Linked DNA regions of Nothobranchius furzeri. The protein of the gene in region 3 purifies or fractionates together with the protein of the main gene of each other region. This does not show direct contact. Links are inferred from orthologs where the notes say so. Each region holds a gene or a part of one and is shown on either strand. Other genes may lie near its edges. The genes, in order: cullin-5, dcun1d3 and cand1.

The links.
Region 1: the proteins of cand1 (region 3) and cullin-5 purify together in Homo sapiens (affinity purification with western blotting; 8 studies listed by BioGRID and IntAct, with this or other methods). This does not show direct contact. The link is inferred for Nothobranchius furzeri from reciprocal best matches to the Homo sapiens genes CAND1 and CUL5.
Region 2: the proteins of cand1 (region 3) and dcun1d3 purify together in Homo sapiens (affinity purification with western blotting; 3 studies listed by BioGRID, with this or other methods). This does not show direct contact. The link is inferred for Nothobranchius furzeri from reciprocal best matches to the Homo sapiens genes CAND1 and DCUN1D3.

Annotation. Positions count from the first base shown.
Region 1 is NC_091750.1:28,012,534-28,016,770, forward strand, and holds the start of cullin-5, read right to left. Parts: upstream 2,884-4,237; 5' UTR 2,661-2,883; coding exon 2,634-2,660; intron 5-2,633; coding exon 1-4. UniProt on the Homo sapiens protein: Core component of multiple cullin-5-RING E3 ubiquitin-protein ligase complexes (ECS complexes, also named CRL5 complexes), which mediate the ubiquitination and subsequent proteasomal degradation of target proteins.
Region 2 is NC_091756.1:31,621,347-31,625,565, reverse strand, and holds the start of dcun1d3 (DCN1-like protein 3), read right to left. Parts: upstream 2,917-4,219; 5' UTR 2,532-2,916; intron 1,526-2,531; 5' UTR 1,459-1,525; intron 1-1,458. UniProt on the Homo sapiens protein: Contributes to the neddylation of all cullins by transferring NEDD8 from N-terminally acetylated NEDD8-conjugating E2s enzyme to different cullin C-terminal domain-RBX complexes and may play a role in the cell cycle progression by regulating the SCF ubiquitin E3 ligase complex, after UV damage.
Region 3 is NC_091741.1:34,350,178-34,353,824, reverse strand, and holds part of cand1 (cullin-associated NEDD8-dissociated protein 1), read right to left. Parts: coding exon 3,605-3,647; intron 1,914-3,604; coding exon 1,826-1,913; intron 1,752-1,825; coding exon 1,583-1,751; intron 1,495-1,582; coding exon 1,389-1,494; intron 1,323-1,388; coding exon 1,177-1,322; intron 1,009-1,176; coding exon 857-1,008; intron 787-856; coding exon 646-786; intron 248-645; coding exon 106-247; intron 28-105; coding exon 1-27. UniProt on the Homo sapiens protein: Key assembly factor of SCF (SKP1-CUL1-F-box protein) E3 ubiquitin ligase complexes that promotes the exchange of the substrate-recognition F-box subunit in SCF complexes, thereby playing a key role in the cellular repertoire of SCF complexes.

The DNA.
Region 1 (4,237 bases), on a different chromosome or scaffold from region 3:
TGTTCTGGTGAAAGAAGTAAAGGGAACTACATTACATCGCTCCCTGGACATTGTCATGTTTTAACTACCTGCCATTTCTTAATATTGGTTTCCAATTGCATTAATTCCAAGTTTATACCAGATTTTCTGATGATCCTTCAACTTTTAAATGACTACAAACTTTGAAAAATGACAACATGTGGTGCCTTTTAAGGAAATACTCATTAGAAGAATTACCTGAGATTTTTAGAACAAAGTGTAGCTTTTGACCAGTGGCGCCCCCAGAAAACTTTCATTGGAGGGGCCAGTGGAAATTTTGGGGTGGCACTCGTAATGAGTCCTTTTGGTAACTCTGGGGGAGTTTAGCCTGTAGTCATAGATTGTATTACCCCTTTGTTCTTTTTCCTAAAAAACAATAGCCCCATGCGTCTAACACACTTACCTCAAATTTCAGAAACACGAACCAAAAAAAAGACAAAAGTTCAAACATTTTTTGGGGTTATTGTTTCAAAATTGTACTGTTTAAGATTTTTAAAACTATTTCTGATTTTTACAAAAACACCCCCCAAAAAATTCTTAGGGTACGGTGCTCTCATCCTTTCGTTTCACCTTCTACACCTTGGACCTACACCTACTGCTGCGGGGGCAGCAGTAGCTCAGGAGGTTGAGCGGGTTGGTTGTCCAGTAATCAGAAGGCTGCAGGTTTGATCCCGGCTCCGGACAGAGAATTCTCCTGTTTTGTCCTTGGGCAAGACACCTAACCCACCTTGCTTGCTGGAGGGGGTCGGAGAGATCCGGTGGCACCCGTGCTTGGCAGCCTCGCCTCCGTCAGTGAGCCCCACGGCAGCTGTGGCTACATCCTAGCTCACCCCACCAGCATGTCAATGTGTGTATGAATGGATGAATGAAACACTGTAGTGTAAAGTGCTTTGGAGTCCTCAGCCAACAATTTTCCAAAGGTGGCCATGGCACCCTCTGGGCATCCTTTGGGGGCACCACTGCTTTTGACAAACTTCTGGAACAAGGAGGAAACTCTGCCTGCCAAAAGTGAAACCAACGCCAAAGTGACAAAAACTGCTGTGCCCCCCTCATCCACTAGGGGCTGGCTCCAGAAAGGAGCAAGTTCCCATTGACTGCCATGCCAACTTCACAGCAAAAATAAGCAAGTTTACAGTCTGGTTCAAAAAACATTTTAGGTTTAATAGGTCAGGTTTACCACCATGACAACTCTGAAGGATGTACATTTAGTTTGCAACTCATCCACTTAGATGTAATAAAATTGAATTTATGAATACTTATGGCTGGGGCGTGTCTATTTAACTGACATGTTGCTCATCCTGCTTGCTCTTGGGAGGGCCTCAGCCTCACATTTAGTGTGAGCCTATAAGGCAAAGGTAGCAGAGGTGCTCAGCCACAGTTTTCTGGCTAAATGCACCTCTGTTAGCTTCGGTTAGCTCATAGCTACATCAGTCCAGAGTTTGACGGCAAATGGCCTGTCTTTGGTATAGCACCTAGAGTCCTAAGCCCCTCCAAGGCACTTTTCAACATAATCAGTCATTCACCCATGCACACACATGTTCACACCCTGGTGGTGATGAGCTACAATGCAGCCACAGCTACCCTCGAGTGCAGTAACAGAAGCAAGGCTGCTGAACATTGGCACCACCAGCAGGCAATGTGCTTTGCCCAAGGATATGACAACAGCAACAGAATGAGCGGGACTTAAACCTGCAACCTTTTAATTAAGGGGTTGACACTTAACTCCTCTGCCACCATCACACTACCCTTGATGGTGTCAGCTGCCCCCACCCTCTCAGCACCATTTTAGTTTTTCTGGAAGGGATAAGCCATGTGACGCAGCCAAGGTTCTGGTGGTGGGAACTGCCCACTGGGCTGCAGTTCAGCTCTTTAGAAACCTAGGGTTGATGGCGTGGAGGGTTTGTCAACTATATAAACAGCCAATGTGCTGGAATCACAGTAAATAAAATTACAAGCTATAATTTGTAGTAGTAGCGCCAACATCTGCAGGTTTTGTGCATGACTGATGATTAAAAAACAAAAGTTTGAGATATTTAACTAAAATGAGAAATATTTATCAAGATTATTTGAGGGAAATGTAAAGAAATGGTTTTTTAGGGGATACTTTGAAACTCTGGTTGAAGATTTATTTCTGGAACACATTGTAGTCACTGGATACGATGTTATGGTTTTCCAGATGGATTTTTTACGAGACAAAATGCGCAGATATTCGCTTGTCTGTTGCTCCATGTGTCTTAAAAGGCTGCAGACCCCTGAGCTGCTGAATGACATATGATATTAGGCTGTCGAAGCCAGTGGTCATGTTTCGGCGCTACATGAGCTATTTAGCATCTGTCATTATCTGTTTCCGTGACCTGCTTCATTGTTCCTGCTGTTTTTGAAAATCCGCATTTATCTATGTTGTAAGGCTTCTCTTTTAGCCAGTGAAAAATCTCTGACAAGCAGCTAAATGTTAGCCTGATGTGACTTAACTACCACCAGCTAAAGTCAACACTGACGGTACAGGTGCTGTGAACAGTCCATTAAAGCCGGATTTAAACGCTAGCATCACATAATACAGAATGACAAGCGCTTAAGTGAGCGGCGAACACCAAATATTGAATCGCAGCTCCTACCTTTAGCAAATTAGACGGCGCCGCCATGTTCCCTCAACTTATCCTCTCGAAAATTCTCGCGAGAATGAAAAATGGGGTCTAGCTGTGAAATTCTGTGGTGAATAAACGTTGAATCTGTAGTCCTTCGGCAATTTCTGAGGCTACAAACTGAAACAGAAGAAACCTGAACTGCGTGTTAATGAGTGAGTGTGTGTATGACCGATTGGGTTGTAAAGACGAGGCTGAAGCATATAAATATACGGGCTGAAGTTAGCTTCCGATTCGAGAAACGGCTAAAGGGCCATTACACCCAATTTTTCTCTACTCTGACCATCTTTAATCTGCTCTAGCTCAAAACAACGCCCACGCTATTTAAACCTGTTCTATATTGTTCTACTATAAAAGCAGATCAAATAAAACACAGTGTGGGATTTGTGAAACCTTTTCCTGATTTGTGAAATTTCAACAACGCCAGATTTACGCGTTTTTTCAGCAACTGGCCAACACAGCTGTAGCTCAAGATGTACAGCCCCTACACTATTCAAACCTGTTCTACATTATTCTACAATAATAGCAGATTGCATACAACCTTGTTTGGGATTTGTGAAACCTTTCCCCAATTTGTGAAACTTCAACAAAGCCAGATTTATGCGTTTTTTCAGCATGGAACAGCTGTAGCTCAAAAACTACTACAGCCACACTGTTAAAACCTGTTCTAGATTATTCTGCTATAATAGCAGATTGCATACAACCTTGTTTGGGGTTTGTGAAACCTTTACGTGATTTGTGAAACTTCAACAAAGCCAGATTTATGCGTTTTTTCGGCATCTGGCCAACACTGTAACAGCTGTAGCTCAAGAAGTACAGCCCCTACACCATTCAAACCTGTTCTACGTTATTCTACTATAATAGCAGATCAAATAAAACACAGTGTGGGATTTGTGGGACCTTTCCCTGATTTGTGAAATTTCAACAAAGCCTTAAAAGATTGGTCTGCGCATGCCCCATAGTAGCACATGTCAACGAGCACGGATAGTCCGACTATCAAGAAAATATGCCTCCAAAACAATTCCTCCGCTCCTCCATTGTTCTAACAGCGTAGTCTTTTTCTCCCGGGCCTGGAGTGGTCTAGCTGCAGTCGCAGCCACTACAAACTACGCCCCCTACAAAACACTCCCCTATGGCCCCTACAAAACACGCCCTTACAAAATAATAATAATAATAATACATTTTATTTCAAAGCGCCTTTCAGGACACCCAAGGTCACTTTACAGAAAACACGTAATAAAATACAATAAAACAATAATAAAACCCAAACAAGAAAAAACAAAGAGAGAAACAGTTCAATAAAATCAGAGGTTGTAGGCAGATTTAAACATGTGTGTTTTGAGTTTTGATTGGAAAAGGGTAAAACTGTCGATGTTCCTGATGTCTGGGGGAAGTGAGTTCCAGAGTCGAGGAGCAGAGCGGCTGAAAGCTCTGCTCCCCATGGTAGCGAGACGGGCAGAAGGAACCGCAAGATGGATGGAAGAAGAAGATCTGAGTGAACGGGATGGGGTGTGAATACTTATAAGGTCTGAGATATATGGAGGAGAGAGGTTGTGGATAGCTTTGAAGGTATGGAG
Region 2 (4,219 bases), on a different chromosome or scaffold from region 3:
GTATTTACCAACCTCTGCCGTACTAGTTCTTGCCGGTCCGCCATGTTTTTCCGCGTCCGACCGTCCGCGTGGTTAGAAATTTTCCGAGGTGCGCGTTGCGGAAATTCTGGGCCGTGCGGAGGCGCGGTGGAGGGGCGTGGTTGTTAAAATGACGCAAAATGACGCAACTTTTCCGTGCGGACCTCGCGGACGCGTCAAGCATAAACCAACCTTAACAGGTGCCACGCCGCATTGAAGCAGTCATTTCTGCAAAAGGATTCCCGACCAAGTATTGAGTGCATAACTGAACATAATTATTTGAAGGTTGACTTTTTTGTATTAAAAACACTTTTCTTTTATTGGTCGGATGAAAAATGCTAATTTCTTTGAGATAGGAATTTTGGGTTTTCATGAGCTGTACGCCAAAATCATCAATATTAGAAACATTAAAAGGCTTGAACTACTTCAGTTGTGTGTAATGAATCTAATATATATATGAAAGTCTAATGTTTATCAGTACATCACAGAAAATAATGAACTTTATCACAATATGCTAATTTTTTGAGAAGGACCTATATATAATGAGCCAGAATTGTTACAGTCTCTTGTAACACACAGGGCTTGTCTTCAGCTCCTGCAGGGTGGGTGTTAAAGAGAGCAGAGTAAAAATCTGTGTTATGAGGGATATGAATGATGTACAGATCAATTTCATTCCATCCACCCACACAGCTTTGTAGGTGATGTCTCATCAGACTGTGTGCAGTCCGTGAATGTAGGTAGTTACTGTTTAAGCTAGTTGAACAAGCTAATTACTTGGGTCATATCCCTTGAAGCCATGTCAGCATTTTGTGTAATCCTTTGACTGATGTGATGATGGGAGCCAACAGAAAAGTGTTTCTACAGTTTACATTTAGGTTAGAGCTAAACCTGATGCCTCATGTCTTGTTGTTGCTGAGATTATTGTTGCAGCATGTGAAAATAATGAGGGAAGTGCTTTAGAAATATGTCGCTAATGAAGTCTGGGATCGTTTAAAACAAACCTGCTTTTTCATAAAGGGAGAGTTTCCAAAGCCCTGTTTGTTGCATGTTTTGATTGTTTAACTAACTTTTATCAGTAAAACTCTAAAAAATTGATACGTAACTTTGCACCCAGACACAACAAATCCTGTGATCATTTTTTTAAAATCAGAAAGACATTCCATTAACATTTTTCAGACTGAATGCTCAACAATGCTTCATATATTTTATATTCTCATAGATGTGGTTGTAATTCATGAGTAAAACCAGATCAATCACTTTTTGTTTTTACTTGCAAACATCAATTTGGTAGTTTGTTTAATCTGTAAATGCATCATTTTCTTTCCACTAACCTAATTACTAAAACAGACATGGTTACCACACACACACACACACACACACATGATGTGATGACTTCATGCATTATATCATAAAAGAGCAGCTGATGACAATTTCACTTACAGACACTCCGTCAGATGGCATTGTCTTTCAGTTCTGCTCCATCATTGTGACCTTGAGATCAGCAACGCTGCAAAGACACATTATATTGTCATCATAAGCAGAAAGCAATAGCTCTTCATTCCCAAATCTGCAGGGACTATTTTTGTCAATACAAAGAGAAAGTCAAAACTCTCCTCTTGCAAAATAATTATTGGACAGTTTTAAAATACCCTAAAATGACAGTTAGAAGTCATTGTGCAATATTTACACAGTGGGGTAATCTTTCTGTGTCTCCACTTGAAGGGTTTCTGTACAACTCTTTGCTTCCACAAAGAAAGAGTCTCACATGTTATAATGAAACATAATTCACAATGCTTAATGCAAAATACACAGCTTTGATTTTTAAACCCAAACTCAACTCTGTTCAGATCATTGATAAAGTCACTAGTCATACATTAATAAGAAGAGTCAGGCTTCAGGGGCAAATTGCCAGTACAGATCAATGTCCTGGACATGTAGAGGCACGTCTCCCACACTTCTAACTTGGCCAACTTCAAGTCTCTGACATCAGATGGATGTCTAAAGGCCCCCTTTTCCACAATAAACAGGCATCACCGTGTAACACATCCAGACGTCAATTTAACTGGATTAGCTGGTCTTAAAAACTGTCCGAGGCGAAGAGCAGCCCAGATATTAAATTGTAATATCTGCAGCTATGTTGTCACCGAGCACGAGCTGCTGGGTTTAAAAACACACATCTGATAACGATGATCTGAATAAGTTATGCTTGTTGGAGACAGACAAGCTCTTGATCAGGATCAAGGGAGCTTAACAGCACATGTACAGCACTTCCAAATGAAATGTAAACACTGATTCAGTTTCTGTTTAATAGTCCGCTTAAACTGCTTAAAGTAGTCGGGCAATACTCGCTAATCGGTTACTGATCAACGATCCATCCTCGTCACCGGGCCATTTAAACATCCACATCTAAAGTGCCTGGCCCTGACCACGTCGACATAGCTAAAAGTTAGCTAGCGGCTATGCTAAGTCTTCTCCGGCTGACACAACGAGATAAATATCCTCAAAAAGCTTACCTTTTTAGGAAAACGTAGGCCGCGTCATTTGAATGTACATCACTTCATAAATGTCACTGAAAACAAAGGTGGGCAAATAAGTTGGCCGAAATACCAGCAGTAACGAACTGAGGCAAACTCGTCGTCAGATTGTTAGCAAACTAGCAGGCAGCTGACCAAAAGAAAAAAAAAGAAAAAACTTCCATAATAAAGTCGCACTCTATTCTACCTTTAGGGAATGATAAAATGATTAGCAGTCAGAGTTTGTATCGGAATTCATTTTTGTTGGTTCGCAGTTTAAAACAAGTTAAAGAGCCACTCTCGGACTAAGGCTGCCTATTTCTTTGTGCTTCCCCCTTTTAGTCATTGAACTACATTATGGACATTTTCCTGCATCACTTCCTCTGTCTGTGCTAACAGCCAACAGCTGATCTCCATCTGAGCGGGGGTGTCACACCGAATTCTGTCACCATAATAGTTTGGGACTTGACCGGGGAAGTCGAAAAATGTTTTTGTTTTGTTTTCCAGAGTAAAACACTGGATATGGAAAAACAGGAAACAGTTTGTACAGATTTATTTATGCGCTCATTTGCATTTTTAAAATGTAAAGACATGTGGTACAAGTGTATAAAAAACACATCTGCAAGCAGTTTTTTTATTTAATTTTTTAATTGGAGGGTAATTTTATTTGCATTGAGTAGCTTGGTTTAGATTTCACACACCCACACCAGTGGCGGCTGCTGAAAATAATTCTTGGTGGGGCTATGTGAAATATTTCCCTTCTTAGTCCACAATTATTAAAATGCACAGTTGAAAAATGACTACAACTGCGAAACAATCATTAATTTCCCTCCTTTAAATAAGCAGTTTTACAGATTAGATAGATTTTCAAATTTACAGCTAAAAAGACTATAATATCAATAATACTCAAATAAATGCACACGCCAATCATGTGAGCCTTTAAAAGCAACCACAGTCAATAATTTCCATTTCTGTTTTTATTTCCATTTTCTTTTGACAAGCTTGAGTTTTCAGTCTCCTATGTCCTATTTATCTCTCACCTGCTCATACAAAGCATGCACACCTCAAAGCGCAGCACTCAGTGCCACCAGTAGGTTTAACAGGACATAGAAACTGAATTACATATCCTGCTTTAAAGGCACATTTGGCAGTTTTGCTTTCTTTAGCACCCCCTAGTATTCGTTTCGTAGAACCAAAAGCAAAACACATCTCTTTGCTGTGCATTTGTCTTTTTAACACTTGAATCTTAATTGCTGAAAATCTCCCCAGCCTTCCTTTGTGTCTACATGAGCGATTTATCACTAAATCAAACAAATCAGCTGTGTTCATGATCTAAAACACGAAGGAAACAGGCTGGAAGCAGGCTGCAGCACCAAGTATGTCAGCTCTATTTTTTCTAAGCCCAACAGAGTAGACCGGCTTTCAATTCAACTTTGTTTTTCACCTTGTTAGTCATTTTCATTCCCACTCCTATTGCGTAATATTGTTTTTGAACGATTAAAAGTGCAGAGGACAAGAACTTACATTGAAAAAAGTGTGGGGGACACCCCCCATCCCAAAAAACAAACAAACAAAATTATAATAACAAAAACTACGTCCATTGTGTGTCATCAATGGAAACCTTTTGCCTCATTCACTTGGTGGGTCAGTAAGCTTAGAGAGCCAATTGTAATTTGAGGATTGAACTG
Region 3 (3,647 bases):
ACTTATCGTTCAGAGAGAAGATGATGCCTGAAACCAAACGTGATCCTTGATGAGGTCATCGACGACAACCCAGTAACCCGAGGAGGAGGCTCCATGTGGGATTACCTGGTATGAGTACAGGGATGTGCTGGGTCAGCGCTCCCGGGAGGACATTCACCAGCTCAGTCAACATGTTGAAGCAGCACTGGCGAGTTTTCACACTTTTCTCCTTCAGCTGCTTGTGGAGAGCCTTAACGATCATGGGCACCTGCAGAGGGCGAGTGACATCATCAACGACACTTCCTGTTTCACCTGTCTGCGGTCCCCACAACAGGATGAGAGCATTTCCTGTCACCGTGGGAACCGGTGACTGGACTACCACACATGAAAGGCGCAGCAGTGCCACCTCCAGGTCAGGAACGGCACTGCGGCCTTACGCACCGATTTTACCATCTGCGGTTCAGAACCCTTCCGGTTTAGTTCCAGCTGGTTTTACTGGGAACCGCCCATCTCCTATAACATTCCTGTCAGATGTTTTACTAAACCTGTGGAAACGTTGCTAAGCAAAAAGGAGAGCGAGCGTTTTTGTGGATTTGTGCTGGGAGACGTCCAGCTGGGTTCAACCTGTCCAGACTTGCAGAGTTTGGCGGGACGCCGCGCTCTCACCTGGCTCTGCAGCATCGTTAGCGGCGTTTCTCCCTGCTCCATGGCGTCCGGATCAGCAAGCCAGCTCTGAGCCGGTCGGGTCTGCTTCAGCAGGGACAGGTAGGCGTGGAAAACGTCCGCCTTCACGTTCTCCTCTCGCTCCTGCACACAGGCGTCAGAGCATCAGGTCACGGCGGAAGGAACCTGTAGGTGTTTGGGTGTCTGGCGGTACCTTGAAGCGGCAGACGAGTGCAGGAGAGACCGAGCGATAGAACTCGGGCAGCATCTCGTGACGAGTTGAAACGACCGCGTCGAGACACTTGGCCGCCGCCCTGCGAACCTTCCAGCTCATGTCGTCGTCGTCGCTGTACTCGTCGTCGCTGCCTGAAACGATTCAGTCCAACATGAGAACAACGCCCCCTCCTGCTTCAGATCGGCACATTTCGGTTTGAATGACCAGCTTCAGCTGGGGGCGTGGCTTTAGCCCCGAAGCAGGTAAAACAGAGGGTTCGGACCAGCAGAACCCCAAAGTGTCCGGTTCTGGTTCAGTACCCTGATAGTCTTCATCATTCTGCTCAGCATCCATGGCGTTGTCATCCTCATCCTCATCATCAAAGTTGTAGTTGGGGTCGTAGGTCAGGTAGCGCAGGCAGATGGAAATGATGGTGGGAACGTGGGGGTAGACCTCTTTTGGACACCTGCAAATAAAAAGTCTTAAAAAGGGGGCGGAGCTGTGAAGAAACGCGGCGGGGTGTGGCCTCTACCTCCTGACGAAGGATTCGAAGGCCTGGATGCAGTACTCCCGGAGCTCGTCGTCGTCCACGTTACAGAACTTCACCACCAGAGGGATGATCTTCTCCAGGTACTCTCCTGAGCAAACGGGGCCAAGGTTTCCATGTCAGCTAGTTTTAGCGTCAAGCAAACACCTTCTACCTGTCCTGTCCCGTCTCCGTCTCACCAATCCTGTGTCCCGCCTGTCTGCTGATGGCCGCCGTGCACTGGATGTACGTCCTGGTGGTGGACATGTTGTCGTTCCTCCCCAGCTCCGCCAGGAGGTGCTCGATCAGGTCGATGAAGACCAGATTCCCACAGGACATCACCAGGTGGCCCAGAGCCATGATGGTCCTCTAAAGAGCAGAAGACAGCGAATCAGAGGCACCGTCAAACTCAGCACAACCTAAAGGTTAAAGGTCAAGCGCACCTTTCTGACGGCCAGTCTGGGGGAGGTGAGCTGGGGGAGCAAACAGCTGAGGATGGAGGGATGGAAGTTCACCAGCAGGCCGCCTTGTCTGAACAGATACAGAGAGAGCATCTGAAGGCTCAGGAGCCGTCTGCAGCTGTTCTGGACTCATCAGCTGATCAGAGAATATTCAGCCTTCTCACAATAATCTGGTTGTCTGAGGTTGTGAACGTGTGGTTTTCACCAGCTGTGAGCCACAGTCATCACAGCTGTAACAGATAAAGGCTGAAACATCTGGACTAGCCTGGGATGAGTCTGTCTCGGGTCAGCTTCACCTTTTAGACCCGGTCAGCGACTTAAATAAACTTCAACACCAGATTTTAGATTTTCAGCTGTAAACGAGAATCTGCTTCTCGTCACGCTAACGGAGGGATAAAAGTTATTATTCTAGGACAAACAGAAATAAACTCAAATCATAAACAATCCAGAAGCTATTTATATCAAAGAACCTCAAAAGATTTTAGGTTTTTTTTCTCCCCTAAAAAAAACTTGAGCAGAAGCAGAATAGGGTTGTCACGGTAACCGGTGTAGCGGTAAACCCCGGTAGAAAAGGTTGACAATAATAATAACCGTCTTGTTTTTAAAAACTAGATTATCTCGGTGGGTTACCGTGGCTGCGGTGTAGGCGCGGTGACCCTTACCAGCCACCGTATCATCTGCTGAAGTTGCCGGCGGCACATGCGCACTTTGTTGTTTACAACCAAAACTTTCTTGAAGCTAAAGCTGAAATAATGGCCAAAGGAGGAGACGGCAGCACTCGGGACATTTATTATCCCTCAAAGAAGACAAAGTGGGAAGTACGGGCATCTTTTGGATATCTGAAGAATGCCGAGGGACAGCTGATAGAAGACGGCTATCCTGTTTGCAGCACGTGCAGAAAAAGTGTCTGTGAAAGGCAGCAACGCTTCAAATCTCATGACACATCTGCGTGACCATCACCCACAACTCTACAGTCAACGCAAGGCAAGCTAACGTTAGCGCTTTAGCTAAAATGCGTGATCCGAGGATTTGGTTTGAGGGAGAATGCAACGAGTCGCTATATAAAGCAGCCGCAGCGCCGCTACCTGCATATAAACCGTGTCGCGGACACCGCCATGTTGAAATGACGCTATGCATTACGGGACTCCCAGGGGCAGATAAGAGTTGGTCTCTCTCCGAGAATAATTATGAATTTAACAACGATTACTCCCTGATGACATTTTCCCACATCTGCAAAGCTCACTGGAAGGACACAAACCGAGGACGATATTTTCCTGATATAGGGTTTATTACTCAAGTAAGGGTAAAAAAGTATCTGATTAGAAGTATACTTGAGTACTGAGTATCATCTGATCTAATATTTTTAAATGATGACATCAAACAGACAAAAAATAAGAAGTTATTGGCAAATATTGGTATTTTAAAGAGTAAAGGGAAAAAATGTAAACAAATAAACAACATAATTACAAAATAACACATTTTAGGCAAAATTTAGACACAAACTGAGGACAATATTTTCCTGATATACAGGGTTTATGTAGTTGTCTGAAAATGTAACACGTTTAAAAAAATCCCGCGATAATACAGAAAACCGTGATAATGTTGGTCACAATAACCGTGAGGTTAAATTTTCACACTGTGACAACCCTAAAGCAGAACCAGAGCGGAGGAGACGAGGTCCCGTCAGAAACGTTTCACCTCGTTTTATATTCAGTTAACAACTCATCATCCCATCAGGTCACCTGACACGTGCTTACAGACCTGCAGAGCATGTCGGCCATGATGTCCAGGGCCTCCAGCTGCA